7 linked regions of the Xenopus tropicalis genome follow. The protein of the gene in region 2 interacts with the protein of the main gene of each other region in a pairwise test. Links are inferred from orthologs where the notes say so. Each region holds a gene or a part of one and is shown on either strand. Other genes may lie near its edges. The genes, in order: exosc5, tfip11, TRAF3-interacting JNK-activating modulator, cep57, sh3glb1, poll and c1orf109.

Evidence for each region.
Region 1: the proteins of tfip11 (region 2) and exosc5 interact in binary tests that used the Homo sapiens proteins (3 or more experiments, as listed by UniProt). The link is inferred for Xenopus tropicalis from reciprocal best matches to the Homo sapiens genes TFIP11 and EXOSC5.
Region 3: the proteins of tfip11 (region 2) and TRAF3-interacting JNK-activating modulator interact in binary tests that used the Homo sapiens proteins (3 or more experiments, as listed by UniProt). The two-hybrid records come from large-scale screens. The link is inferred for Xenopus tropicalis from reciprocal best matches to the Homo sapiens genes TFIP11 and TRAF3IP3.
Region 4: the proteins of tfip11 (region 2) and cep57 interact in binary tests that used the Homo sapiens proteins (3 or more experiments, as listed by UniProt). The two-hybrid records come from large-scale screens. The link is inferred for Xenopus tropicalis from reciprocal best matches to the Homo sapiens genes TFIP11 and CEP57.
Region 5: the proteins of tfip11 (region 2) and sh3glb1 interact in binary tests that used the Homo sapiens proteins (3 or more experiments, as listed by UniProt). The two-hybrid records come from large-scale screens. The link is inferred for Xenopus tropicalis from reciprocal best matches to the Homo sapiens genes TFIP11 and SH3GLB1.
Region 6: the proteins of tfip11 (region 2) and poll interact in binary tests that used the Homo sapiens proteins (3 or more experiments, as listed by UniProt). The two-hybrid records come from large-scale screens. The link is inferred for Xenopus tropicalis from reciprocal best matches to the Homo sapiens genes TFIP11 and POLL.
Region 7: the proteins of tfip11 (region 2) and c1orf109 interact in binary tests that used the Homo sapiens proteins (3 or more experiments, as listed by UniProt). The two-hybrid records come from large-scale screens. The link is inferred for Xenopus tropicalis from reciprocal best matches to the Homo sapiens genes TFIP11 and AIRIM.

What each region holds. Positions count from the first base shown.
Region 1 is NC_030684.2:79,502,126-79,506,505, forward strand, and holds the start of exosc5 (exosome complex component RRP46), read right to left. Parts: upstream 2,883-4,380; 5' UTR 2,853-2,882; coding exon 2,765-2,852; intron 39-2,764; coding exon 1-38. Other genes in the region: bckdha (2-oxoisovalerate dehydrogenase subunit alpha, mitochondrial), read left to right, coding at 3,079-3,150. UniProt on the Homo sapiens protein: Non-catalytic component of the RNA exosome complex which has 3'->5' exoribonuclease activity and participates in a multitude of cellular RNA processing and degradation events.
Region 2 is NC_030680.2:15,108,004-15,112,043, forward strand, and holds the start of tfip11 (tuftelin-interacting protein 11), read left to right. Parts: upstream 1-1,201; 5' UTR 1,202-1,313; intron 1,314-1,487; exon of another isoform or gene 1,488-1,785; intron 1,786-2,651; 5' UTR 2,652-2,656; coding exon 2,657-2,856; intron 2,857-2,974; coding exon 2,975-3,125; intron 3,126-3,677; coding exon 3,678-3,834; intron 3,835-4,040. UniProt on the Homo sapiens protein: Involved in pre-mRNA splicing, specifically in spliceosome disassembly during late-stage splicing events. Intron turnover seems to proceed through reactions in two lariat-intron associated complexes termed Intron Large (IL) and Intron Small (IS).
Region 3 is NC_030678.2:50,640,975-50,644,570, reverse strand, and holds part of TRAF3-interacting JNK-activating modulator, read left to right. Parts: intron 1-613; coding exon 614-643; intron 644-1,682; coding exon 1,683-1,778; intron 1,779-3,596. UniProt on the Homo sapiens protein: Adapter protein that plays essential roles in both innate and adaptive immunity. Plays a crucial role in the regulation of thymocyte development.
Region 4 is NC_030678.2:164,688,825-164,693,140, reverse strand, and holds the start of cep57 (centrosomal protein of 57 kDa), read right to left. Parts: upstream 2,832-4,316; 5' UTR 2,603-2,831; coding exon 2,570-2,602; intron 150-2,569; coding exon 1-149. Other genes in the region: protein FAM76B, read left to right, coding at 3,494-3,577. UniProt on the Homo sapiens protein: Centrosomal protein which may be required for microtubule attachment to centrosomes. May act by forming ring-like structures around microtubules. Mediates nuclear translocation and mitogenic activity of the internalized growth factor FGF2, but that of FGF1.
Region 5 is NC_030680.2:106,593,799-106,597,394, reverse strand, and holds part of sh3glb1 (endophilin-B1), read left to right. Parts: intron 1-1,860; coding exon 1,861-2,002; intron 2,003-3,596. UniProt on the Homo sapiens protein: May be required for normal outer mitochondrial membrane dynamics. Required for coatomer-mediated retrograde transport in certain cells. May recruit other proteins to membranes with high curvature. May promote membrane fusion.
Region 6 is NC_030683.2:30,778,636-30,782,668, reverse strand, and holds the start of poll (DNA polymerase lambda), read left to right. Parts: upstream 1-1,170; 5' UTR 1,171-1,200; intron 1,201-1,605; exon of another isoform or gene 1,606-2,000; intron 2,001-2,991; 5' UTR 2,992-3,099; intron 3,100-4,033. Other genes in the region: protein DPCD, read right to left, coding at 825-888.
Region 7 is NC_030678.2:86,153,932-86,158,275, forward strand, and holds the start of c1orf109 (uncharacterized protein C1orf109 homolog), read left to right. Parts: upstream 1-1,470; 5' UTR 1,471-1,712; coding exon 1,713-1,888; intron 1,889-2,659; coding exon 2,660-2,932; intron 2,933-4,023; coding exon 4,024-4,203; coding exon of another isoform or gene 4,204-4,219; exon of another isoform or gene 4,220-4,250; intron 4,251-4,344. UniProt on the Homo sapiens protein: Part of the 55LCC heterohexameric ATPase complex which is chromatin-associated and promotes replisome proteostasis to maintain replication fork progression and genome stability.

The sequences.
Region 1 (4,380 bases), on a different chromosome or scaffold from region 2:
TGCAGGGCCATATACTCCAGCCATTACAGATGTGTCGCCTACAGGAAAGCAACATGGAAATCAGTTGAACAGTTAGCCTTAAGGTGGCCATACACCTTACAATTACAATCTTTCCTGCAACCATTTGTCTCAGGAAAGATCGTTCCCACCCTCCACTGGCATTCAGAGTTGAATTGTCAGATATGGAGGTAGAAACAATAAGGATTCTACCTCCACCTGACAATTAAGCCCTAAACACAGATTTTGCTCGTATAAAAGTCTTCTGTCCCGCCCGTTCCACGAGGCGACATATCCGAAGCTTTTGTGATGTTCACCTCGTCGATCCACCATACACACAGTGAATATCGTATGAAACTAGGTGCATCGGTGCATGTATGTCAGCTTTAGTCACATAAAACTACAGTAGCCAGATTACTGCCTGTGTGATATATAAACGAACCTGAATTATGAGTTTTTACCTTTCTTTCTTCTTTAAAGCAATCTCAGCAGGGGCTCAAACACAGCCAATCATAATCACAGATGGCCGTAAGTTCCACTGTGGAAATGGAAAAATTGCCTTTTCAGGCAAAGGCAAAATGACAAGCACCATGGGGGTACTAGAAAAGAACAAGTTTGTGATTTGCTGCTTGTGCAACTTAAGTGAGGCAATGCATTCAATCTACCCATTTTATGCAGTGATCTTATGGTCATGTCTTTAGTTAATGGAGGCTTCTCTGGTTATTTATGCAGTGATTTTACTGGCATGTCTGGATTTTTTTTTTTGGTTTTAGTTTTAATTTTATGATCATGGTATTTTGGGTGTGGTAAAATGTGGGTGCAGTCATACCATGGCAGTTAACTGTGTCCCTCTTTGTAGTTTTCAAATGGCGGGAGGAGCATGGCAGTTAATTGTGTCCCTCTTTCGAGTTTTCAAATGGTGATAGGTATAAAAAGGTGGTGAGTAAAACTGTACACAAGGTGGATAAAGTGATAGGTCTTGATCAATGCAGCTTGGTAGAACAGAGTTGCAGAGAGTTTGGTGTGAATTCTAAGCCACCATGATATACCTGCTTGATATCTAGGTCAATGTGCTTACACCCTTTAGTTTCTTTTTTCCGAATTAATCTATTTTTGTGTGACTGGAGAACTGCATTAAAAATTATACTGCATTAAAAATTATTAACTGGTCAAAATGCTATAAACCACCTAAACATGGTACTGGATTGCTACTTTGTAAGGATAGCTCACATTTTTTGTTGAAACTCATTTCTAATCTTTATTCTAAAATTGAATATGGTGCAGAGCCTAGGAGCCCAAAACTACAAGCCCCTATAGCTATAATACACAAGATTTTCTTTACCAACATTGATCAGTGATGTAATTTGTATAATTTACTGACTAAAACCTCCTCTGTTGTAAAATATGTGGATATTAGAAGCCACCTCAGAGTTCAATGACCTGTATTAAACCACTTGGCCTTTGGTTCTGTGCCTGTATATGGTCATGGCACTCTAAGGAGACTTCCAATACCCTTATATTTTTTAATATGGTGTATATTCCCTATATTTTGGTTTATTTAAATGCGTACACACAGGTATCATAATCACAGTGCTGTACATGACCGTTTATAGCTCTAGAGTAAGAGTATGGTCAGTCTGTCCCCAATTCAATTTGGTGTCCAATATTTTAAAGGACCTTTTCCTAAATAAATATATATGTATTTGTACAAATGAATTGTAATTTTAAGCAGTGTTATAATATGCAGGAATTAAACATGTTAAATGTTTTTTTTTAAGTAATTTCTAAATAAAATTCCAAGAGCAGTTTGTCTGCCTTTGCTATTATTTGCTACCAGACTATAGAAATAATTAAATAAAAAATGTCTCTCCTCACCACCACCTCAGTTCCTACAAATTTGCCTTGTACTATTCTTTTATTTTACTTTGCAGCTGATAATGGCAGAACAAGCAAGGCATTGTGAGATTTGGAGTAGTTAAAGGAACAGTAACACCAAAAAATGAAAGTGTATAAAAGTAATTACAATATAATGTACTGTTGCCCTATATTGCTACAACTGGTGTGTTTGCCTCAGAAAGACTACTATAGTTTATATAAGTTAGCTGCTGTGTAGCTATGGGGGCAGCCATTCAAAGGAGAAAAGGCACAGGTTACTTAACAGATAACAGATAAACCCCCATTATATGGGGCTTATCTACTAGTTATCGGCTACGTAACCTGTGCCTTTTCTCCTTTTTTCCAGCTTGAATGGCTGCCCCCGTGGCTACACAGCAGCTTATTTATATTGTAGCTTTTCTGTAGCAAAAACACCAGTTTTTTGCAGAGCAACAGCACATTATATTTTAATTACTTTAAAACACTTTCATTTTTTGATGTTACTGTTCCTTTAAGAGTAGCTGGGGAAACCAGGAGAGAGTTGCAATAAACAGGCTGAAACTTTTTTCTCAGTAACAATTGTATCAATTTTAAAATCATGAACATTTTTTATTATCCTATATTGGAAAATTGCTTAATTTACAAGTTTGCAGTTCAGCAACCACCTACTTTAGACAAATACAACACATACATTCCCCATTGCTGTCCTCTGCATTATGACAACATGGAAGAGCTGTTCCATTAAATGAGAATAACGGCCACTGGATTTACAATTCAATTTCCATCCAATGATTTAGCCGCAAAACATTTTACGCTTCCCTTCAATATGTATCCCTTGATATCCTCGTATTCCACATAAGATTTGAGGAATTATAGGCGCGCCAAAACTAACCCTGAAGAAACGTAGCGGATCCATCGGGACGGCTCAGCAAACTCTGCTCACACCCGTATTCCCGCAATACAGAACCTACAGCCTCCATCAGAACCTTCTTTCCACATGTGCAAACACTTCCGGGGTCCTTGGGGTCTGGCAACCGCCACACTTGCCTGTATAATTATACACAACAATGCCAAAGCCTTTTTTCCCAGGGAATAATAGGAAATACGCAATTCTCGCAATTTCTCACTTCAGAGGTTATTTTTGACAAGCTGTTGAATAGGGGTCCTAAGAGAAATGTAGGCAGTGGGATAGCATTCCGAAGCAAGATGGCGGCGCTGAGGGCACTTCTAAGGGTCCGGACTGTGGCAGGAGGGTGGAGAGGCGCCGGTGGGAGACAGGTGAGAGGAGTACAGGGGTCGCGTTGGTGTGAGTGAAACAGACGATAATCAGATGGAAGGGGAGTTTAAATGTTTTATTTCTAAATGCGAGACCCTGGTCTTGTATACTGAGAAGTATACACATCTTGTACCATAAGGTACATCGCATCTAAAATACTAGTATGCCTGTCTGACGTATATACATGGGAACTACAAGAACTGTTTGAATTGGGAGATGTGTTTTAAAAGTTATATGCTATAATAAACGTGGGTTATAGTTACAGTTCAGAATTATGTAAAAATATGTGATATTGCTGACTAGATTTGTAAGGAGTCAAATTTACATTTGAATTTACAGCTTATATAGTATATACATTTATATGCTTTAGCCTTAAATAACAGGTTGGTTGATTGTCTGTCCATAAACCAGCTGGTGACAACATTGTTTCAGCTATATAAATAGGAAGAATATGTTTGTATACATACTCCCAAAATGCACACACATATTTCCAGGTATATATTTGTATAGTGCTACTTGTATACACAGCCCTGTACATATCTATATATAAGTATTTGTATAAAATTGCCTGTGCTTTTGATCAGCAGTTCTGGGACTGGAATATTATAGGTTGGAGTATTATAGAAGCAACATTCTAGTAATATTCCTAGTTCTGTACTGTACCACAGTTATTGCTTACACTGTATTGGATTCTCTGTGTTTTTGCATACGGGAAAGAATATATATTTTCAAGGTGTTCTAACTTTTTTTTCATGGTGCAGTGTAAAATGTTTTTAGAAAACATAATTATTTGCAGATACTTGTAGCCTAAATTGTGCTTTTAGTTATGTGATTTAACGGGCAAGACCAAGGTGTTACGCATTAAAGATGTGTGATGCTCTGGTGGGAAAAAAAAATATGGAACCCCCTCCCCCAGCACTATACCATACATTTTGGAGCTGGATTATAATACAATGATAATGTCATGGACAGAAATCAGAGGAGCACTTTGGCCTGTAGGGGAACATAACCTCTTGAAGAGCCCCGTGGTCTGGAGCAAAACTAGATGGTTTTAATTATTACTTATTCTTGCATATTAAATAACTATTACTACAGTTTAATTAGGATATGCCTAGTATTTGTCTGATTTAACAGCTAATGTGCCATAGATTCTGTTTTGGACAGCATTGAAAGGGTTAAAGGACAGAAATATGTAAACCGGAAGGATGACACTTGAAATAAAGGCCAAATAA
Region 2 (4,040 bases):
AGAACCCCACTTGCTTGCTTATTAAACTAGCCCCTAGTAACCAAGCCCCTAGCAACCAAGTCCCTAGCCCCTAGTAACCAACCCCCCTAGCCCCTAGTAACCAAACCCCCTAGCCCCTAGTAACCAAGCACCTAGCCCCTAGCATTCCAATCCTGCCCGTCTGATTATTACACAACCCCAAGCTTGCAGAACCCCACTTGCTTGCTTATTAAACTAGCCCCTAGTAACCAAGCCCCCAGTAACCAAGCCCCTAGTAACCAAGCCCCTAGTAACCAAACCCCCTAGCCCCTAGTAACCAAGCACCTAGCCCCTAGCATTCCAATCCTGCCCGTCTGATTATTACACAACCCCAAGCTTGCAGAACCCCACTTGCTTGCTTATTAAATTAGCCCCTAGTAACCAAGCCCCCAGTAACCAAGCCCCTAGTAACCAAACCCCCTAGCCCCTAGTAACCAAGCACCTAGCCCCTAGCATTCCAATCCTGCCCGTCTGATTATTACACAACCCCAAGCTTGCAGAACCCCACTTGCTTGCTTATTAAACTAGCCCCTAGTAACCAAGCCCCTAGTAACCAAGCCCCTAGTAACCAAGCCCCTAGCAACCAAGCCCCTAGTAACCAAGCCCCCTAGCCCCTAGTAACCAAGCCCCTAGCATTCCAATCCTGCCCGTCTGATTATTACACAACCCCAAGCTTGCAGAACCCCACTTGCTTGCTTATTTAACTAGCCCCTAGTAACCAAGCCCCTAGTAACCAAGCCCCTAGCCCCTAGTAACCAAGCACCTAGCCCCTAGCATTCCAATCCTGCCCGTCTGATTATTACACAACCCCAAGCTTACGGAACCCCACTTGCTTGCTTATTAAACTAGCCCCTAGTAACCAAGCCCCTAGCAACCAAGCCCCCAGTAACCAAGCCCCTAGCCCCTAGTAACCAAGCCCCTAGCCCCTAGTAACCAAGCCCCTAGCCCCTAGTAACCAAACCCCCTAGCCCCTAGTAACCAAGCACCTAGCATTCCAATCCTGCCCGTCTGATTATTACACAACCCCAAGCTTGCAGAACCCCACTTGCTTGCATATTAAACTAGCCCCTAGCAACCAAGCCCCTAGCAACCAAGCCCCTAGCAACCAAGCCCCTAGCCCGTAGCCCCTATTCCAATCCTGCCAGTCTGATTCTGACACAACCCCACGCTTGTAGAACCCTACTTCCGGTGTCGCGTCCCGTACGCGTCATTGTGTAGGCGTGACCGGAAGTGTGCCGCGTACATTACTGCAGCCTGTGGAACCCGGGGCTCAGGTACCTGGAACTGGAATATCGGTAACTATGACGCCTCATGGAAGCTTATTTTAGCATTTAGCCCCACTTGTTTGTGTTTGGTATAACTAAGCCGGGGCTGCTCAGTGAATACGGGGTGTCTGGTTCCCGCACAGGAGCGGAATGGCCATGTGTACCTGTCTGGTGTCAATGGCTGCGCTATTAGTTTCTTCCCCATAACTGTTTGAGGGGATTATGGGAGTTGTAGTTTAAATCCTGACCTGTGATTATTGTCCCTTACTAAATGCTGTTACATTGATTGCTGCATTGTATCTGGGTAATGCATCCAGTTCCATAGCATGCCATTTACTCACTCCATGCCCCATTCCTCTCCCATCACTCACTTCAGCATGGCCCTCTTTAACCCCTTATGGGTCACTGTAAGTAGTAGTACTTCTCTGGTTGGCTGTGGCTACTGAGCCATTCTGGCCAATCAGGAGGGGGAACGCAGCCGACTGGACATATACTGTTCAAGGTTATTTCTATCACTTGTCTTTTTTTTTTTTTACCTAAATCCAAGGAAAAGGACATGGAATGTTTTGGGGGGCCCCAAGGCACAACCCTGTATAGCCATAAAGGGGTTGGGCACCTTTGAGTTATCTTTTAGTTTGATGTAGAGAGTGATATTCTGAGACAATTTGCAATTGGTCTTCATTTTTTTATTTGTAGTGTTTTAGTTATTTTATTTTCAGTTCAGAAGTTCTCCAGTTTGGAGTTTCACCAGCTATTTGGTTGCTAGGGCCAAGTTACTTTAGCAGCCAGGGAGTGGTTTGGACAAGAGACTGGTATATGAATAGGAGAAGGCCTTAATAGAAAATTAAAGTTACAAAAAGTAACAATAAAACTGTAGCCTCACAGAGCGATAGATTTCTGGCTGCCAGGGTCACTGACCCCCATTTAAGGGCTCTGGCACACAGGGAGATTAGTCGCCCGCAACAAAACTCCCTGTTCGCGGGCGACTAATCTCCCCGAGTTGCCGCCAGTTGCCATCCCACCGGCGACAATGTAAGTCGCCGGTGGGATGGCACACGCAGCGGCGCGATTTCGGGAAATCACTGAAGTTGCCTCGCAAGGCTTTTTCGTCGATTTCCCGAAATCGTGCTGCCGCGTGTGCCATCCCACCGGTGACTCGGGGAGATTAGTCGCCCGCGAACAGGGAGTTTTGTCGCGGGCGACTAATCTCCCCGTGTGCCAGAGCCCTAAAAAGTTGGAAGGAGAAGGCAAATATTTAATAAACTATAACAAATAAATAATGCAGACCAATTGAAAAGTTGCTTAGAATTGGCCATTCTATAAAACACAACAACTTATATATTGTTAAATATTGTTTCCCTCTCTCAGGCACCATGTCTATGTCGCACCTTTATGGCAAAGATGAGGACAGCGATGGAGTGGAAATGGAGAACTTTGAGATCACGGACTGGGACCTACAGAATGAGTTTAACCCCAACCGCAGAAAGCATTTCCAAACAAAAGAGGAGGCGACCTATGGGATGTGGGCAGAGCGGGACTCTGATGATGAGAGGCCAAGCTTTGGGGGGAAAAGGTTGGTGGGTCTTTAGATTGGTAGGAGGGGTCACTCAATAGTAATAGTCACCTTCTTGCGTGCAGTTAATGATACAGCACCACCCAATACGGACACCTTTCATTTTATTTCTTCATAGGTCTCGAGACTACTCGGCCCCTGTCAATTTTATCAGCGCTGGGATCCGTAAGCCTGCTGCAGAAGAAAAATCTGATAGCGATTCCGACAGTGAAACGCAAGCAAGGAGGGAAACTTTCCCAAAGGATTTTGAGGCAAAGAAGCTAAGGACGGTAGGATGAGTCTAAGGAGTGTTTGTACTTCCCAATAGTAATAGTCTGACAGGGTTAAAAGGGGTGTTCTTCTTTAAACCAACTTTTGGTTGCTATTCTAAAACAATTTGCAGTTGGTCTTCTTTTTTTTTTTATTATTATTTAGCTTTATATTCAGCACTTTTCCAGTTTGGAATTCTAACAGTTATATGGTTGCTATGAACCAACATAACCTAGCAACCAGTCAGTGGTTCAAATGAGAGACTGGAATAATAGCAGGAGTGGGTCTGAATAGAAAGATAAGTTTAAAAAAAAAAAAAAAAAAGTAATAACAGCGTAATTGTAGCCTCACAGAGCAATAGTTTCTTGCTGCCGGGGTCAGTGACCCTCTTTAAAAAAAATGAGGACCAATTGAAAAGTTGCTACGAACTTGCTCTTCTATAACCTACTTAAAATTAACTTAAGGACGAACCATCCATTTATAAGAGAGAGAACTATTATTGTAAGAAAGACACACTATATTCATTGTTTCATTCCAAAGCTTCAGTCAGTTTCAGTTTGTGTATTTTACAGGGTGGTAATTTCAAACCATCACAGAGGACATTTGCTGGAGGAATAAAGTCAAACACAGATTTTGGTTCTTGGGAGCGGCATACCAAGGGAATCGGCCAGAAACTTCTTCAGAAGATGGGTTATGTGCAAGGAAGAGGCCTGGGAAAGAATGCTCAAGGTATAACTGGGTTCTTTGGCCAGTGAGGTTAAATTAGAAGCTCTACTGAGGCAGGGGCTATTCTCAGATGGAAACGTGCAATAGTAGCTTTTATTATAATCTGACTGTAAGTATGTGAGAAAAATGTATTTTATAGCCAGGATATTCTTTAAAGGATAAGAAAACTTCAAAATAAGTTGATGAACATTTGCAATTTACATTCATAA
Region 3 (3,596 bases), on a different chromosome or scaffold from region 2:
GTATTTTGCGCGACTAATTCGTCGCCGTCGCGATTTTTTCGTATTGAGCGGTTGTAAACGGCGGAAAAACCAATCCGATTTTTTCGCGACGGCAACGAAAAAGTTGCGGAACATACGAAAAAGTCGCAAAAATAGCGATCATTGCGAAAAACACATTCGGACCGTTCGTGGATTAGTAAATCTCCCCCATGAGTCAGCTTCCTGCTGATAGGCTCAGATCCACATTCCTAAGGGGGGGGGAGTGAGTTCTTAGTATTCTTGAGGGGGGGGGAGCAGGAGAGAGCAGAGAGCTGCGTGTCTCTGGCACATGAATTACAGACACAACAATAGTAATGTAATGTAGTAATGTTGTGGATGAATAATTTTTTTAATGTTTCGTGGTTGCCTGAATACACTGCAGTCCTTCCAAAAATTCAGTGAGAATATATACTAAACTCAGGGGGTAATGCTTCTAAAAACACTGGAAAAACTCATAAATATAGGAGCCTGGGGGGAAATGTTCTCTCTGTTTTCCTTTTGGTTGCGTGCATACAAATATCTGTTGTTCTAGTTTATATGTTCATAGTAGACTTTGCATTTACATGTATAATTTGTGAAATGTTTTATTTTTCAGGAGTTGTTGGAACTTTCTGAATACCTTGTGGTAAGCATGATAAAGTTTAGCAATTATATTGTGCAATTTCTAATCTCTTTTTTTTCTAGGGATGCACCAAATCCATTATTTTGGGATCTGGTTAAACCACAGATCCTTTGTGAAAGATTTGGGCAAATGCTGAACCGAATTTGAATCCTAATTTGCATATCCAAATTAGGCCATGGAGGGGTCAGATAGAACTGCCCGCAAAGTGTGCGGTGAAAACTTTTTCGCTTCCGTGTTTGTGACAAAAAGTCTAGAGAATTTAAGGATTCAGAATCAGCCCAGCAAGAATCTGAATCCAAATCCTGCTAAAAAAGATGAATCTTGGCCGAATCCCTAAATGAATCCTGGATTTGGTGCATCCCTGTTTTTTTTTTAAATTCACATATTAAAGGGCAGACACAATCAGAAGAGGGCCCTATGTAGAAAAGTATAAAGCCCCCCTGACAGCAGTGCTTAGTACAGTACCACTCATCCTAGTATGGCCACAGTAGTCCTCCGGATGTCTCTATCATCAACCCATTCAAAATTCTGCCCACCTGCAAGATCTGCCTTTCTATGTGTAAAGCATTAGGGAGATGACAGGGAGTGGTAGGAAGGCACATTGACACCACCCTCTCTCTGGGGTGGATAGGGAGCATCCCTCAGGCAAACGGAAACAAAAATTATTTGTGAGAGTTGCTGGGGCACTGTTCAAGTGTATGAGGTATATGTGAGCCCTTACAGCCAACCGCAAGGACTAAGTATCACCTTTGCATAAAAAATGACAGTGTTATTTATCATCAGCAGCATTTATAATTTTTGTGTGACTTAGAGAAATTTCACTAAATAACCATATAAAGACACAAGGCAACAGGCTTCTTTAATACAGGTTACTGACCATGTAAATGAGGAATTTAGAAGTTAACTTAGAGCCTCATAACCTCTACAGGAGCACTCAGCTTAGGCCTCATGCATTTATACGTCCACAGAAAATACATTATTTTACATTAAGGGGGTACATTATATCTGATATTAATGTCACTTATTTTTCTGACTTCTGCAGGAAGCTCTCCATAGAGAGAGGAAACTGAAAAAGAAATTGTGCTCCTTGCAGGAGTTGTTTCGAACACTCTTACAGACATCTGAAAAGTCATTCAAGGTAGATTCTGTTTGATAAACCATGGGAATTCTGAAACAGGGTTATTCTGATTTGTTGGTTAAAAAGAACTATGGTTGCTTGTTTATTTACTGCTTTGGTGCCCTAAAAAATATGGTCATATTGGTCAAAATGAAGAATAAATATTTGTGGCCAGAGATAAACTTTTCCTTGGGAACCACCAGTTTAGATGTTTCCTGCTGTGTGACACTCTGACTTGAATGCTGTATAATCTCTGTAATACGCTGTGTAATGCCACAAGTACAGGTATGGAAACTATTGTCCAGAATGCTTGGGACCTAGGGTGTACCGGATGGAGAAAGATCTTTCCATAATTTGGATTTTCATGCTTAATTTGGATCTCTGTACTATAAGTCTATTAAAAAAATATTTTGACATTAAATAAACCCAATAAGGACTTCTTATATCTTAATTGGGATCATGTACAAGGTTCTGTTTTATTATTACAGAGAAAAAGGAAATCATTTTGAAAACCTTTATTTGATTATAATGGACGCTGTGGGATATGGCCTTTCTGTTATTCAGATCTTTCTGGATAAAGGGTTTTCAGATAATTTATCCTATACCTCTGTTATGTGCAGCATCGCCTGCTTTAAGTAGCACTGCCTACAGCAGGGTGGCACATGGGTGTCCCATGGTACAGCATGCCATCATTGGATCTCCATTTCTAGACTGGGCTGTTTCTGCTTTTTTCATTAGAAATGGTTGTGCACCCACAGTGCCCCTGAAGTATATTTATTGTTTCAAAGATTTAAGTTCAGCTTCATATGAATTTAAAAAGATGAATATAAACTTTTTGGAATGGATGATTTAGATTAAGATTTTAATGGCACTGTTAATTTATTATTTTCAATTTTATTTAAAGCGCATTCCTATATATTACTTTAAATTACAAAATAGTGCTGCATAACAAAAACACATAAAAATGCATACAAAGGTCCAGTTTCAAATCACTGAAAGAAAAATGGATCCAACAGTAGAATACCATGGTGTAGAATGCCATGGTGCTTTGCTTCCTGAATGTTGAAATAAGTTGAAAATGTTGAAATAGTAGTGTGAGTCCTAATAGCTGAGTCCTAATAGAATTCATCATAGCATGTGTGAATGTGATAGAGACCTTAGATTGTATGCTTCACTCTGGGAAGTACTGATGTGAATGATGTATATCTGTAAGTGCTGTGGAACATGCATGTGCTATATCAATAAAGATAAAAGTATTCATAGTGCAAGTGGTTCTTGCTCGCTTCTCATTGTTACTGGGGTGCATTTCACAAAAGTGGAGATAGTATTTTTGGAGTAAAATTAGAAGGAATACACAAAAGGGGTACAATTTAAGACAAAATAACAGTAGAGATAGATTTGTTGAATTTTCCACCATATTCATACACCTCTATAAGCCAAATTGCACACACAATTTGGCTTATAGACTATGACATAGAAGGAACTGGTTAGAAACTTTAAAAATAATGAATTCAAAATAATTAGTAAGAAGGGAAATTCTGACGGTAAGATAACTAGTTTTAGCAACTCTTCATAAGCTTTGATGTGGTTTGCTGATGCTTCCTCTATATGCATGCAGGAAAAAAAGCATTTCTTATTGCTTACAGACAGGAAATGTATCTTCGTTTCAAGAGAACTACAACTACAGAGCAGGTGTTCCCAACACAGGTTTCTTTTAGTGGGTTATTTTGCAGTAAAACGCTAGAAAATCCAGAACTATAATATATATGGGCAATGAGTTGTAGTCTATGTATCTTAAAAATAGAGAAGATCTTTGTTGCAGAGTGAAGAGAGAATGCA
Region 4 (4,316 bases), on a different chromosome or scaffold from region 2:
TCAGGATAGGCCAGCACTGGTTTGCCGGGGGAATGGAGCAGTTCTGAGTTAATGAATGGTTTTCCACTGGGGAAGGCCACATATGAGCTCGCTGACTGTGAATCAATTCTAGATTGTCCTTTAGAATTCCCCACTGAAGGATTGTGCAGCTATAAAACAAAAATAAACACAAAGAACAGTTAGTATTGTATGTGCCCAGAACACAAGAGGTAAGACAAAGACTGGACTCTGCCACGGAAAAGCCCTTGTGACTTTAGTCAGGATCATTGTTTAATACACCTACTGCCTATGATATTGTGCAGCCCTGCCTGTCTCCTGGCCATACAGTATCCCTTCCCAATCTTTACTCCATGCAGTTCAGGAGAGGGCAATGTTTACTTCGTAAGTGTCACTGCAATTGAAAAATGTATTTCATAGTAACATAGTAAGTTAGGTTAAAAAAAGACATACGTCCAAAAAGTTCAACCTTAATACCTATATATAGCCTGCCTAACTGCTAGTTGATCCAGAGGAAGGCAAAAAATTCCATCTGAAGCCTCTCTAATTTGCCTTCTCTATATCCGCTGTAACAATGTTGTTACTATAAGTCAATGGGGCCATACTTTCGACCTGCCTCTTTTTACTATTAATATACTTAAACTTTTTGGGGTTAGTTTTGGCCTCGGCCGTGATGCGCTCCTCATTTTCTATCTTTGCCTTTCAGGTTGCAGTTTTACAACACTTGTTATAGCGTTTATATTCATTTAATGCAGCTACTGTCCCCTCTGACTTAAGCTGGCCATACACGTAGCAATTTCAAAGATCGTTCCCACCCTCCACAGACGTTCAGGGCTGAATTGTCAGATAAGGAGGTAGAAACAATAGGAATTCTACTTCCTTCTGCCGATTCAGCCCTGAAGGTAGATTTTGCTCAGACACCTTCAATAGCGCCCGATTAAAATCTTTTAACCTGGTCGATCCGCGAGACGACCGATATCCGCAGCCTTTTGTGATATCGGTTGCCTTGCCAAGTCGCCATACACGCACCAAATATTGTACGAAACTTGGTTTCATACGATTTCATCATTTTATATTTCTTAAAAGCTTTCCTTTTTTCCCTATTAACCTCTTTACCTCAGAGTTAAGCCACATAGGGTGATTCTTAACACTTCTACATTCACTTGTTAATGGAATAAATTGAGAACAGTAATGATTTAAGATAAATTTTAAATGACAACCATTTCTGCTCTGTGTTTTTATCAGAAAACATAATGCCCCAATCTATGCCCTGAAGCGCTGCCCTTAAAGGAACAGTAACACAAAAAAATTAAAGTGTTTTAAAGTAAAAGAAATATAATGTACTGTTGCCCTTCACTGGTAAAAGTTGTGTGTTTGCTACAGTAATGCTACTATAGTTTATATAATAAGCTGCTGTGTAGCCCTGGGGGCAGCCATTCAAGCTGGAAAAAAGGAGAAAAGGCACAGGTTACATAGCAGATAACAGATAAGCTCTGTAGAATACAATAGTGTTTTATCGGTTATCGGCTATGTGCCTTTTCTCCTTTGAATGGCTGCCCCCATGGCTACACAGCAGCTTATTTATATAAATTATAGTAGGGTTTCTGTAGCAAACACCCCAGCTGTACCAGTGCAGGGCAGCAGTACATTATATTGGAATTTCTTTGATACATTTGAATATTTTGGTGTTACTGTTCCTTTAAAGGAACAGTAACACCAAAAAATGAAAGTGTATAAAAGTAACTAAAATATAATGTGCTGCTGCCCTGCACTGGTAAAAGTTGTGTGTTTACTTCAGAAAGTCTACTATAATTTATATAAATAAGCTGCTATGTAGCCCCGGGGGCAGCCATTCCTGCACTGGTACAGCTGGGGTGTTTGCTACAGAAACCCTACTATAATTTATATAAATAAGCTGCTATGTAGCCATGGGGGCAGCCATTCAAAGGAGAAAAGGCACAGGCACATAGCAGATAACAGATAAAACACTATTGTATTCTACAGAGCTTATCTGTTATCTGCTATGTAACCTGTGCCTTTTTTCCAGCTTGATTGGCTGCCCCCATGGCTACACAGCAGCTTATTATATAAACTATAGTAGTGTTACTGTAGCAAACACACCAGTTTTACCAGTGCAGGGCAACAGTGCATTATATTTTTATTACTTTAAAGCTCTTTCATTTTTTGGTGTTACTGTTCCTTAAGGAGCTAAAATTTGCTTTTCTAAAATTCATTGTCTTTGTTGCCCCCGTGTAAATTAGTTTCCTGCACCAAACATCAAATTACTCAAACATTATGGTCACTATTACCCAGGGGTTCAACCACTTGCACATTTGCTATACGTTCTGGGTCATTAGAGATCACTAGATCCAATAGATTGGTTCCTGATTGGCTCCTCAACAACCTGTGACATAAAGTTGTATGTATCAGTTCTCCTCCATGTCTGCCAGCCAGCTGATACCTGCCAAGAGTCTGAACCCCCAGTGCAGAGAATATAAACAGCCAGGCAGTTGTGTATAGAATCTACATGGCATTACTGTCAAGCCAACCATCCCCCAGCCCTTCCTCTCACCGTTTTCCTTGGATACGCAGCAGAAGCCGCCATATTTCTCCGGTACAGGAAGCCACCGACTCTGCAGGGTTACACAGTCAGCCCCATTGCTACGTTTCTATTACTCTCACACACCTACACTTGCCCCGACATCTTTCCAGCTACTAGGCGGGGCCAGCAAGTTTGTGGGAGGCGCTTACACTATTGGTGCGGGTTCCCAACTCAACGGACCAATCATACGCAGCGTGCGGATTATAATCACCGCAATACAAGAGAGTAGGGAATTTGGCGCGTTTGTTTAGTATATATGTTTTATTCATATGGCGCAGTTTGTGCAATAGTTTCATGTGATCTATATTATCCGAAGTTATTTGAAGAGGTTTCACAGTGAGCCAGAACCTCCGATTCTGTGACCAGGTGCATGCTGGGAGTTTACGCAACAGCATCTTCTCAGTCGCATCTAGGGCAACATCTGTGTCTGGGTTTGGCCAATGGCCGCGGAGGACGACGTCACTCGCCAGCGAACAAAACGCGCGACGTGATTGGTGGAGCGGACCTTCCATCAGCGTGCCATTGGCTGGATGAATTCAAACGCGTTTTTCCCGCCTCCCAGTGACTCTCTCGGATTGGCTCGACCGGCCCTTCCCTTTGTGACGCCGCTGAATTTGCACACATCCGGTTATTTTTCTCCCGTTTTTATATTTGTAAAGAGGGAATAGGCCGAGTAACGTCGAGCCGAGAGCAAAGAGGGGAATAATAAGAGACGAATACGTTTCGGTGGTTCGTACCGAGCTCCGCGCAACCCCAGCGATAAGTCAGAGGCGGTGGCGCGGCTGGTGAAGGAGACGGAGCAGGAAGCACAGGCCGCCCCGTAGGAACGTAGAACCCTATTGCCAAAGCCGGTGTTGCCGGAAGTGTGTGTCCGTGCCCTTCAGTGTTCCCAGTATGGCCTCAGCGCTGTACGCCTGCACCAAGTGTCACCAGCGATACCCGTTCGAAGAGCTCTCCCAGGGGCAGCAGCTGTGCAAGGTCAGTGCCCAGGGCCGCCTTAGGGAACTTCCTTCGGTGTCCCGCCATCACTGGGGCCCAGCAGCCTTGGGTAACAAGGGCATTTCTATTGGGTTCCAGAATCTCATGGGCCTAGTGTGATCACAGGGAAGCCATTAGCTCAGGGGCCCATATGTAGCCTTTGAGTAGTGTAGGAAGGGGTGCTAGTTGGATACCCCAGACCTCCATTCATTGCTAGGAACCCCCTCTTCCCTAACTGAATCCATCTTTCTTCCCTTCAGTAGTTTGAGGGGATGCTGGAAATATATATGAATTACTACTGACTGCTGCTCAGCCTAGGGCTGGGCGATATACCGTTTAATACCGAATACCGGTGTTTTTTTTTTTTTTTTTTTAAACTATATTCATTTTTTAGATACCGCAATACCGGGGTGTCAGGGTACTCACCCGTGCAGCCCGGTCTCGCGCGCGTCCCATGTTCTGCGGGACGTTGCGCACACGCGTCCGGATGCGCGTGCGTCAAAGCGCACAAAGCGTGCACGTCCGCGACGCGGTGCCGGTTCTGCGCATGCGTGGGGGGTATTTAAAGCTATCAAACGCCTCCTCCTGTGCTATGTGTCTGTGGCCTTGCCTGGGAAACTAAACCTGCCTAATTTACCTTACGACTTTCTGTTGCCGATCCTTCGCTTGCCAGACTCTGATTTTCAATACTGCAGTAATTATTCTCTAATTTATTAGGAAATGGGGTTAACACCTAATC
Region 5 (3,596 bases), about 91 Mb from region 2:
TCACTTGGGGGTGCCAAAATGTTAGGCACCCCCAAGTGACTTTAACCGCCTACCTTTTACCCCGGGCTGGTGCCGCTGTCAGGAGAAAACAGCACCAGCCCGGGGTAGCTGCTGGCGCTTCCTCCTTCCGGCTTCGCTGCGCGCGCATGCGCAGTATAAGTGAAAAGCCGAACTTAAACATTTAAGTCGGCTTTTTCGCTCTACTGTGCATGCCCGGCCACCGGCAGTTTAGGAAGTGGAAGGCGGAAGGAGGAAGTGCTGCGCTCCAGGTACCCCGGGCTGGTGCTATTTTCTCCTAACAGGGGCACCAGCCCGGGGTACAAGGTAAGCGGTTAAAGTCACTTGGGGGTGCCTAACATTTTGGCACCCCCAAGTGACTTTGCCTTTCCTTCCCCTTTAAGTTACTTACTGCAAGCTGTCATATAACTTAGTGTTAGGGAAGCCACAGTCATTCCAAGCAGAGGAGCAGTAAATGTTTATAAACCAGTCAGATAAAGGTTATTTGATCCTACTTTGTCTTGAGGGACAGAAGCTATAATCCTGGGATTATGTCTAAAATGCTTGTCATAAAACAGGATAAGGCTTCTGTTCTTTGTCAGAAGGAAATAGCAAAAGCCAGGTGAGTACCAGGAGACAGATTCCTCCATGCAAGAATATTATTTTGTTTTTAGGTAAATCTAATTGTTTTTTTTTATTCTGGCTACAGTATTCTTCTTGGCTGCCACAGTTGTATTTTGGATACAGTTGCAGTGATTTTGTCTTTGTTACAAAGTCAAGTGTTGAGCAGGTGAAACTTTATTTCAGTATTCTCACTGGAAAAATTCACAAAGACAGAATGGCATGGGTTCTTGCTCACATATATAAACTGTATATACTGATACCTGTACTAAACTAACTTTAGATCTTAAAACCACGTTAGCCTTGGATATTATACTTGTTCAAGAATTCATTTAAACCACTCTTAAGGGCATTAATAGAATCTGCCTTTACAACATCACCCGACAGGTCATTCCACAGCCTCACTGCCCTCAGCGCAAAGAACCACCTACAATGCTTTAACTGAAAGTTTGTTCCTCTAGTGTAAAGGTGTGACCTCTTGAATTAAAACGGCAGGCATAGGCGCCGTCTGATTGGGGGCTGCATTAAGTTGCCGATGTTGTCCCCGATCCGGCGGAAAATCAAACCCGCCCTTATCGGGATCTTGCCAATTTTTGGACAGATGTCAGTCAGGTGCCCATACAAGGGAAGATAATCTGCCGAGTTGGCCTAAAGGACTTGAATCGGCATCTGAAATCAGCCACCTTTAGGGTTACCTTACCAGGGGTATGTTTTACCTTTGTGAAATTATTTTAAATGTGATTAATTGCGTCTGCTTGGGTGTCAGAGTAGAATATTTTCTGTTACACAGAAACTTACTTGTATGTATAACTTTATTTATAAAGCGCCACAAGGGTACGCAGTGCTGTACAATCTTACAGTATACACAATTACACACAGGGAGGACAAGTGTTGTAATAAATAAATACAATAAATATATATATATAAATACACAGGGAATAAGTGTCATGTGGTATGAGACACAGTAGGAAAGAGGTCCCTGCCCCATAGAGCTTACAATCTAAGTGACTTGCATTTTAAGTAGCAGCTGGAAGTCACTGAATGGTAAGCAATGAAAAAGGCATACACATTACTAACGTGCACAACCTGATTACTTAGAACAGCTGCACTAAAGAAATCCAAGTGCCTTTTATATATTTATTTCTACTGCCATTTAACCAATGAAATGTATTTTATTGTTCTACTTGTGAAGATGTCCAATGTTTTTGTTTTTTGTTTGTTTTTTTTTCTTCCACTGAACAGTTTACAGAAGAAAAATTTGGCCAGGCAGAGAAGACTGAACTTGATGCTCACCTGGAAAATCTTCTCAGCAAAGCAGAATGCACAAAGGTTTGGACTGAGAAGATCATGAAGCAGACAGAGGTGCTGTTGCAACCAAATCCAAGTAAGATTACCCCCCACATCAGAATGTCCCCCTAAGCAGAATGGCTTACTTGTAAAAGTAGAAGAAAGGAAATGTCAAGTCCATTTACAAATATGTAAAATTAAAACTCAATACTCAATAACAAATAGAATACATTTTTTTTTATATGTTGTACATCCTGGGACTCATTCATGTCTCCCTTTGCATTTTCATGCATTAGTATGCCACAGCATTTTAAAGTGTTAGCTGCACTTATTCTATACATTTTTTAAGGGTTTTTAGCTGTCTGTATGATGTCGCACCGAGGACAAGCCAGCTAATGGATGCTGGAAATATGGGAGGAGCCAACACAGAGGCCTGGGCAGGAAGCAAACATAATAACATTTAAACCAAATTATTTTAAAGAAAAACCTCAAAAAACTATAAGAAAAAATGAAGTAAATTTAAAGAGCAAGGAAACTCCCCCAGTAGAACTTGAGTAAAAGATCGTCCCTTAGCGAAATGCTATATTAGTTACTTACAAAACCCCCTATGTTTCCTGCAGCAGTCCTGAGAAGTTTGCTTTTCATCTCTGCAGTAGTTCTACTGGGATAATGTTTTCTCTTTAGAACGCTTGATGAGTGCATATGGGCTATTTAAAATGCATCCTAACACATGGCCAATTGTTTGTTTATCTTAGGGTTTCCTTGTCCTTTGAAGTAAATTTGAACAGTGGGTGTGTGCTGTATTTAGAAAGACATAACGGACAGTTATTGCCTAAAATAGTTTACCAAAAAGATGTCAGACAGTTGTTACTAAAACAAGGGTTAAAGCTGAGATATAGATAAAAAGATAATTTATTTCCCTTTCCGTGTCAAACAGAAAATCCCTTTACCAGAAACAATCAAGGGCTGTAGCATTGTTGGAAAGGGAAGTCATTGCAGAAGTCAATGACCATAAAGTGTCTGGCCTTGGAAGATGCCATACAAGGAATAACAGGAACAGTCTCTTAAAGGGGATCTGTATGTTTTGGCCAAAGACTTAACGGAGTTAATTTATTATACAGTATATGAGATATCAAATAATCCAATCAGAATTAATCATATATCATTAAGTATATTCCTTTTTTATCTTTATACATAATTTTATCATGTTTTTTTTGTGTTTCCTCCACAGAATAAGCAAAGAATGTCTGTAATATATATAGACATATAAGTGAATAGACACTGCTATGAACTTTATTCCCACGATTGTAACCTAGCATGTATGATTTAACTATATGGTCTTTTCTAAGCACAATTAAGCTGGCACATTTTACTACTTGGTGACCTGAATAATAACGTTATTTTCATTTCACCTGTACCTGGAGATGTCACCTGTAATTGTGTTCCACAACCTATAGTTGGTCGTAAACCTTAAGATCCACTCATTTGGTGAGTTTGCAAAATGAGCAAATATCGCCACTTTGTGGTGCCTGATAGTGGGCTGATCTGATTGTTTGGCTTAGTGCCAAATGATAGCACTATAGTCACCTGTATAGTCACAGGACTTCGTCAACTAGCTGAAATGGTCATCTCCCCAGTGGGATTTTTAAACCTGTCCAATAAATATCTGGTTGATTTTGGCCAGACACCTA
Region 6 (4,033 bases), on a different chromosome or scaffold from region 2:
ACTCAGGCAGTTGCCATAACCTTTAATGCAGGCACACAGAGAAGCACAAGAAAGCAGATCCGCTTCTCTCAGCCTGGCCGAAAAAACGCAGGATTGAGAGAAGTGGGTATGCGCTTTGTGTGACCTCGCCCTAAACTAAAAAAAAAAAATGAGACATTAAGCCCCTAGGTAAGAATAGAAGGATTTGATTGGGGGGAGATCAAATATGAGACTTGTTTGTTATATGCTTGTTATTATGCATGGGATTAGTTGTCCTTTATTGAACTAAACCTGCAGGTCCTGTTGTAAATCATCTTTGGTTATGGGACTATTAACTGACAGAACCTAACAATTTGGTCTAAAACCTTATCCCCAGCCAGTGTCCTGTGAGCAACATGGGTGTTACTCCCAGTGGCCTCAAAGCAGGGGCTTATTTTTGAATTATTGACTTGGAGGCAAGTTTTGGTTGCATAAAAACCCAGTGTAAAGCCACACAGAGCCTTCTCTTGGCTGCCAGCCCACATAGGGGCTACCAAATAGCCAATCACAGCCCTCCTGAATTTCTGCTTATGTATCCTCAGTTATCAGTTCAGCAGTTCCCCTGCGAGTTTGTTCAGCTTTACCAGGCTACTGGCTGGACATAGTTTACATGTTTATGGCCTAAGATTTTAAACTCCACCAGGGCAGTGTATTGAATATAATCTGTGTAGGCGCTATACAAATAAAGCATGGGATTTGGTTATTGAGGAGGTTGAATGAATGAATATGGTTAACGTTAGCTCTATATCTTTCTCACAGCATTAAAGCCCAAGCCGATGTGACTGCGTTCCCACAAGAACACTCACCATCCTGTAAAATGCACGTTTTCTGCGCAGCCTTCAGACTCTCCAGCCAGCTTGGAAGCGCCATCTTGGAACCTGTCACACGCGGGGCCGAGTTACTATAGCAACCCAAAGCTTGCCGGCCTCTTAGGCAAACCGACCTGAGTTGCCATAGTAACGCAGCGGACTGCCTTGTAACGTGTACACAAAACCTATCAACATACCTATCCCAAAATATAAAACGTCTCTACAAAGCTACTGCTGTAACGGGATATTATATATTCTCTTATTATCGGGCTCATTAAGCAATGGACTCCGGTGACCACTTCCGAGTCATCCGGATACGGAAGTGACCTAATTAAATGTCCGTGTATGTTTATAGATGTGGTGTTGAACTCTAGTAAGTGAATGTGAGGGGGGGACAAAGCGATAAGTTACTGTTTGTTTCTCTGTTTGGGGCGCTGTGTGTGTATTTTCCATGTAACTATTTGGGCGCAGTGATCTATAGCAGTGATATATAGAATCGTGGAACTACATCTCCCTCCGAGATGGCTGGAGAGCTGCTGGGGAAAGAAAATAACACATAATCACACATTAAACCGTACTGTTACTTAGGGTTTGGGTTCCATAAGAGAAAGTATTGATTACCTTCCTTAGTGTAGCTGTTTGTATAGCAGAACATTAGGCAATCACAATGGTCTGTTATTAAGTGTACTTATATTATTTGCTACTGTTTATTGCTTGGGGTGGGGTGGGGTGGGGTAGGGTAGGGTGGGGGAATAATGCCAATTTTACTAGAAGGACGAAAAGATTGATTTAGCAGCCCTGGGTTCATTTTGTGGTAACCCTAGCCACTGGTTCCTATATATAAGCCCACTGACTCTGAGGGCAATGGGGAGATTCCCTTTGGTGGAAAAAGCTCCATTGACTTTATTGGTCAATGGGAGGTCAAGAAATGCCTCCCATTGGGGTTAACAGTAATCACCAGTCCAGACGATACCATAAAAAAAAGTAGAGGGCAATTGTGAGTTTTACTGCCTCCCCACTGCCAGTCTCTCTGTGCCATTGCCAGTAAGCTGGCCATATGTGGGTTGATATTGTAAGCCAACTCTGCCTCTCTTGGCAGTCTGCAGCCTAATGGCCGATGCACAGGGCAAAAGCGATGATCTCCCTACCTGTATCTACTCAGGGTTTGGCCAGGTAATGATATTTCTGGCAGGAAACTCCCATCAGGCAGATGCTACATAGAAACACAGTCCTTTCTTAATGACTCTGCCCGGGTTGATAGTTTTGGCTGGAAATCCCATCATCAGGTAACCCCAGTCTGCGAGTTAAAGCCACATATAGGGGCTGATTTACTAATCCACGAATCCGAATGAGAAAAATTCGGATTGGAAAACTAACATTTTGCGACTTTTTCGTATTTTTTGTGATTTTTTTCGTAAATTGTCGCGACTTTTTCGTAACCGTTATGACTTGCGCGAATTGTCGCGACTTTATTATAGCCATTACAAATTTCGTGAATTGTCGCGTCTTTTTCATAGCCATTATGACTTTTGTGAATTGTCGCAACTTTTTCATAGCCATTATGACTTTCGTGAATTGTCGTGACTTTTTCATAGCCATTATGACTTTCGTGAATTGTCGCGACTTTTTCATAGCCATTATGACTTTCGTGAATTGTCGCGACTTTTTCATAGCCATTATGACTTTAGTGAATTGTCGTGACTTTTTCATAGCCTTTACGACTTTTGCGAATTGTCGCAACTTTTTCGTATTGAGCGATCGAAAAAGTCGCAAAATACAGATCATTACGAAAAAAACACATTCAGACGCTTTTCGGACGTTCGTGGATTAGTAAATCAGCCCCATAGTGTACAGACTGGGAACCCGCAACACAAATTTAATATAACACATGTTTCAGAGTAAATTTACATGCAGATTGCCTGGTTGCACTATAAGTAGTTCAGTCTGCTGCTGTAATTATTAGAAAACCATACAGGATTTCTATTCCATATCCACTTTTAAAAGAAGAGTTGGCAGTTCTTGCTTTAGTGAATGTAAATTCAGATGATAAAATGTTAGTTGGATCTGGTAAAATTGTAGGTTACACCCAACTCTTCATATGAATGACAGGTAATAAATATAATAATGAATATATAACCAAAATAATGTTTTTGTTTTACCATAGGAATTGAAGCTACTTGACTGCACTCTTGCCAAATTGCCCTTAATTTTGCTTAAACGCTAGTCTGAAGGAGACACTGAGGAGACACTAACTTTGCAAGAGGTTTTCCTTGTAAGTACTACTCATACAGTATTGCTTTTAAAAAAGAACTAAACCCTAAAAATGAATATGGCCAGACATGCCATATTTTATATAAAGAACGTATTGAACCAGCCTAAATGTTCAACATCTCTGTAGTAGTAATAATCCAGTCCTTTAAAGTTGTCACAGGGGGTGGCCATACTGGACACTTCTGTTAGAAGTGTCTGCGACACTGCACATGCTCAGTGCACTCTGGGCAGCTGTTGAGAAGCTAAGCTTAGGGGTCGTCCAAAATTAATGGGCTGATGGTTTCAGAGTTTCAGATCATCTGTGTTAATTACTAATCAGCCTTATATTGTGACATTTATATCATATATATATATATATAGTATATACAGTATAATGTCAATCGGTCCCTAAGCTCAGGTAGGTGACAGCAGCACAGAGCATGTGCAGGGAATCAGCAGAAGATTGGGGGCTACTGGGGCATCTTCAGTGGCACATATCTTCTTTGCTAAAGGGCTGTGGGTGCCTTGGGCTGGTACAGAAGCAAAAAACATAATGTACAACATTTCTAGCCTACCTCTTTAGTTAAGCTTTAGTTTTCCTTTAATAAAACAAGACTTTATGATATTTTTCATATCCAAAATGAACTGTTACTATTCCAGGGGGCATATTGGTCTCTTTGGGCTCATTGACAAGCAGGAAAATGCTAAACTGAGATTTAATTGTGTGGGAATTTCAGGGGCAAATGATAGGTTGCTTTTACTAAATGAAATAGCAGTTTCTTCCTCCTACTAGCAGTATGTGTTCTTTTGTGTAATGGGAGAAAATGGATTAACTTTTAGCATGCTGTGGTTTTTATAGTATTTTAATAATTTGCCTCCCTTTTTATACCTTTTTCCAGCTATTGGATGAGGATCAGTTACTAAAAAACTATTTCCCTGTGAAGCTACATTTTTAT
Region 7 (4,344 bases), on a different chromosome or scaffold from region 2:
CATACATACATACATACATACATACACACACACACACACACACACACACACACACAATTTTGAATTGTTTTTTTATGGTATTACCTGCTTCGCCTGCGCCCTTGGTGCCGGTGAGGGGATCCCCCATCGCTGCTTCGAGGGCTTGGAGTTCGCCGGGTGCGGTGCTGCCTGACGGGGCTTATCCTTTCCTGTTTTATAGTTACTGTCTCCGGGCTGTGTGGTCTCCGCTTCCTGCCCCTATCATCCTCCTCATTCATGCTGGCACTATAATCTTTTCACAAACACACACCGAGAAGAACCAAAATGTTAAGCAATCTACCTTCTCTATAAACCGGAAACCACCGAACGTTACCTCCGATCCGGAAATAATTCCCTCTTATTTAAATATTTTTGGGATTTGTAGTTTCTAGCGATTTATCATAAAATATCCTTTATAGCAGCGCCGACAAATCAAAATTTACGTTAGCTACTCTCATGCACAATTATGGTATTAAACCAACTTAAACTGCAATTGTTACCAAGGAAAATAAGGAATAAACAATTGTCGCGCCAGTCACCTCGATAGCAATAACAAGACTTTAAACTACAATTCCCTTCATGCCGTGCGGCTGTAGGTTTCCATTTCCGGCTTTAAAAAAAAAGGTGAATGTATTCACGTTGCAGTTGTGCTAATGATAGCGGGCAAGCTAAGCAGCTTTTCCAGGTCTGGTGAAATACGTGCGTTTGAATTGGGAAGTTGACGCTGTTTTTATTTTACCTTTTCTGTTCTATATGACATTATATATGACATTGTTTGTAATGCTGTTTAAGGACACGAATCAATGTAATACGGATAGCCTTACTTTTTTCTTAGTAAATAATTGAAAGCAATACTGAAATATATCACCTTTTATATACATTTGAGCCGATGATTCGCCCTTATAAAAATAATCTTAGATTTATTAATGTTATTCTGGTAGTGTTATGTAGAACATCTTCCACTGTGGTAACTGCTAATATAGGGGTGGATATACTTATTTTTTCCTGTAATCACTGTTCCAAGCATGCAACAATGCCTCTGTTCCTTACAACTCCTGGCAGTAACTACTGCTAGGTCTAGGTCCAACTTTTCCAGCAAACAAATACCAGCTGTACCATATCTATAGATTTTTTTTTACCAACTATGTATAAAAAATAAAAGAAAAAATGCAGCACAGGTAGCCATAGGTTGTTTAACCTTTAAAGCAGGGGTCGGGAACCTTTTTGGCTGAGGGAGCCATAAACACCACATATTTTAAAATGTAATTCCCTATAATATGTTTGGCCGCGGGGCAAGGTTGGGTGGGTCCCAAGGATGCCGGTTGCTGGATGCAATGCGGAGGAGGGCGTGGCCTGTGCTCGGCGTATAGAACATGTCTTCTATCTGCCGAGCGCAGGCCACACCCCCTGTTATTTTTTTTTTTATTAAAGATTTGGCAGCGAGCCAGATGCAGCCATCAAAAGAGCCACATCTGGCTCCCGAGCCATAGGTTCCCTACCCCTGCTTTAAAATAAAACAAAAAAAACTGATACCCATAACACTGGAAGTACTAGAAAGCCACTCCCATAATAGGTAGAACTAATTAAGCAGTTTTTTTTGTTAAAGTTAACAATACTTTATGGCTTAGATTTTATCGGGTGCCACATATTACTGATCATTGCCAACATAAAGCGATTTTAAAACAATATAAATTATGCATGTGTGCCAAAATCTTCGAGTCAGAGCAAATCTGATAACAAATGTTTGCCTAATTGCTGCTATTATAGATTTGCAAGCAATTTTAGCATTGGTGTCCACTCCCTCTGAAGTCATTTGGCCCTTGGGTTGTCATGATATGACACATCAAAACGCACGGATAAATGCCAGCGGGTATGTACCCATAATCTGGCCTATTGTTTTTAAAATAAAGGGGACATATTGTGTGAAAAACCATATTGTGCCAATGATTTGTACTCATCTAAATATAAAAGAAATGTGCTTTAAAAAGTAGTGTTTGGGGCTGATTTATTGATTTTATTTATCTGTTCCACTTCTGGCTACCTCCTTTCCCAGGTTGTTCAGGGGAGGCCAGCGGCACTCAGCACACTATATAGGAACCAATCAGCAGCTAGACTGACCTGATAGGGAACTGAAGCCTGTCTTTGCCTGTGTGACTGCAGGGCTGTGATTGGCTCTCCCCCTTTTACTGTGCTTCTGGCAGGGACTATTAGAACATGCCCACCTCTCATCTGAAACACGGACAGGGACCTGAGAGGATCTATAGGGAATTCCAAAAAGGGACAGTTCTTACAGATAGTTTTAATTTTTATACCAAAGTAAAACCAGCCCCATATATTATTCATAATTGTCTACAAGATTAAAGTTTATGTAATTTATGTCTCCTTTAAGAAATGTTTGCTGCAACTTAGTTTAAACATATGCCTACTTCTCTAAGACATTTCAGCATACATTTTACTATACTGAGTTAAATATTACTAGGCTAATGTGAGTATATCTTTTTCAAGGGTTTAAATACTTAGAAAGGTGTTGTGTGTTTTTGCATTCATAACGCTGTATAACTGATTTGTTGGCTTGAGTTTTATTTTAAGTGCAAAGCATCAGATTTATGACATGTATTTCACCAGTTTTATCGTTTTATAGGATGTCTGAGAAACCAGCCTTTGTTTCCGTGCAGCAATCGCTGAGAAAGTCCTTTGATGCCATAGAACCACTGCATGAAGAATGGAATAATACACTTTTAGAGTGTAACCCACACCTAACTTCTTTAAGTAATCTAGCAGAACAGCTACAGGCCTGCCAGAGAGTACTGTTTAAGAAAACCCCCCTGAGCAGCTTTATTAACCTGCAAGAACATCTTCGTTTTAAACTACAAGCAGCTATGGAGTTTAATTTGGAGATCTTAAATCAGAAGTTGTAAGTCCAATGTGTTGTTGGTTCAACCCTTCCGGTGCTGGTATCACCATGCAAATTTTTAGATAAGATACAAGCATCACTTTACATGTACATCAGTTCTGAAAACACTGAATTACTTGCTTGTCATACTTAATGTAGATATCTTTCCATTGACTGACACAGCTTCAGTGTGTATTGTGCTACACTGAGCGGATATCAGCACGAATAGGCATACTTGAGTGTTTCTGCGCCAATATCCGCTATGTGTAGCTCCACACAGGCAGACACTGCCTGTTAATGGTTCTACAGGAAGGAGCGCATGACAGTGGATCCACTTTCCTCTGCCTGGGTAAAAACTGCAGGTGAAAGAAAGAGTATCCGCTCCATGTTCCCTTACCTTAAATCTACTCTGCTGAGTAGATATAGCAGTTGTTAGTTCTAAAGTGATACACTGCTAAAAGAATGGATTTTGGACAATACATTCTCATAGGATGCACATTTTTTTGTACTCGGCAGGTTTTGCCTTTATAAATATTCTTATATTTTTAGCAGCAATTTTCTTCTTCCTCAATAAGAAGAGATATGAAATGGCGTTGATACTCACACTTGCATACAAGTTACAGGTTAATTTATTTTGTATGGAAGGTTTATATCCCCACAATATAACCTCAAGCTGGTTGGTTGTATTTCAGTGTGAAGTACATGATTGTCAGTTGTGTAATCACTACCTTTTGGTTCCCACAAAATCTAACCAAATCAGTAATAGGTTTAATATTTTCCTACAATAAATTATTACATTGTGACTACTAATTGCACAGTACTAGTTTTAATCACTTTATACCTTTTACTCTCAGCAGGATATTGCAAAATAATCACATACCCACAGCAAGTTAAAACATGAAAGCCAAAGGTCTAGGTTTTTGGATGTGTGTAATCTGTACAGACTTGTTTATGGCCTAATACAAAATGCTATTTACATTGTTGGGCATTATCACAGGCAGTAAATATTGTAGGTTGCCAAACTGGGCATCAGATTTTCACTTGAAAAAAAGTATTTCCTGAATACAAGGATTATCTACATTTTGTAACTCTTCAATTGCTAAATTTTACAGGTCTACGCTGCAGAGAATAAGGGACTCTGTAAGTCAGGTGGTTGGATCTGTCCTCTACATGTATGAGACAAGCATTGAAAAAATTGGTCTTGAAGCAATTTTGGAGCGTTCTTCTCTCTGTCCTTCCATAGCTGACATGTTAGAATGGCTACAAGATATAGAGAAACATTACAGAAACCAGTATCCTTTAAAGTAGAACTACTAACAAGTCCTGCCTTGAGACACAAGTAGGAATCCCTGTTCCCATAAACCTAAATGCTAAGAATGTATGATGATGCCAATGAATTTAACACACAAATTATAAAAAGATATTTAGGATCT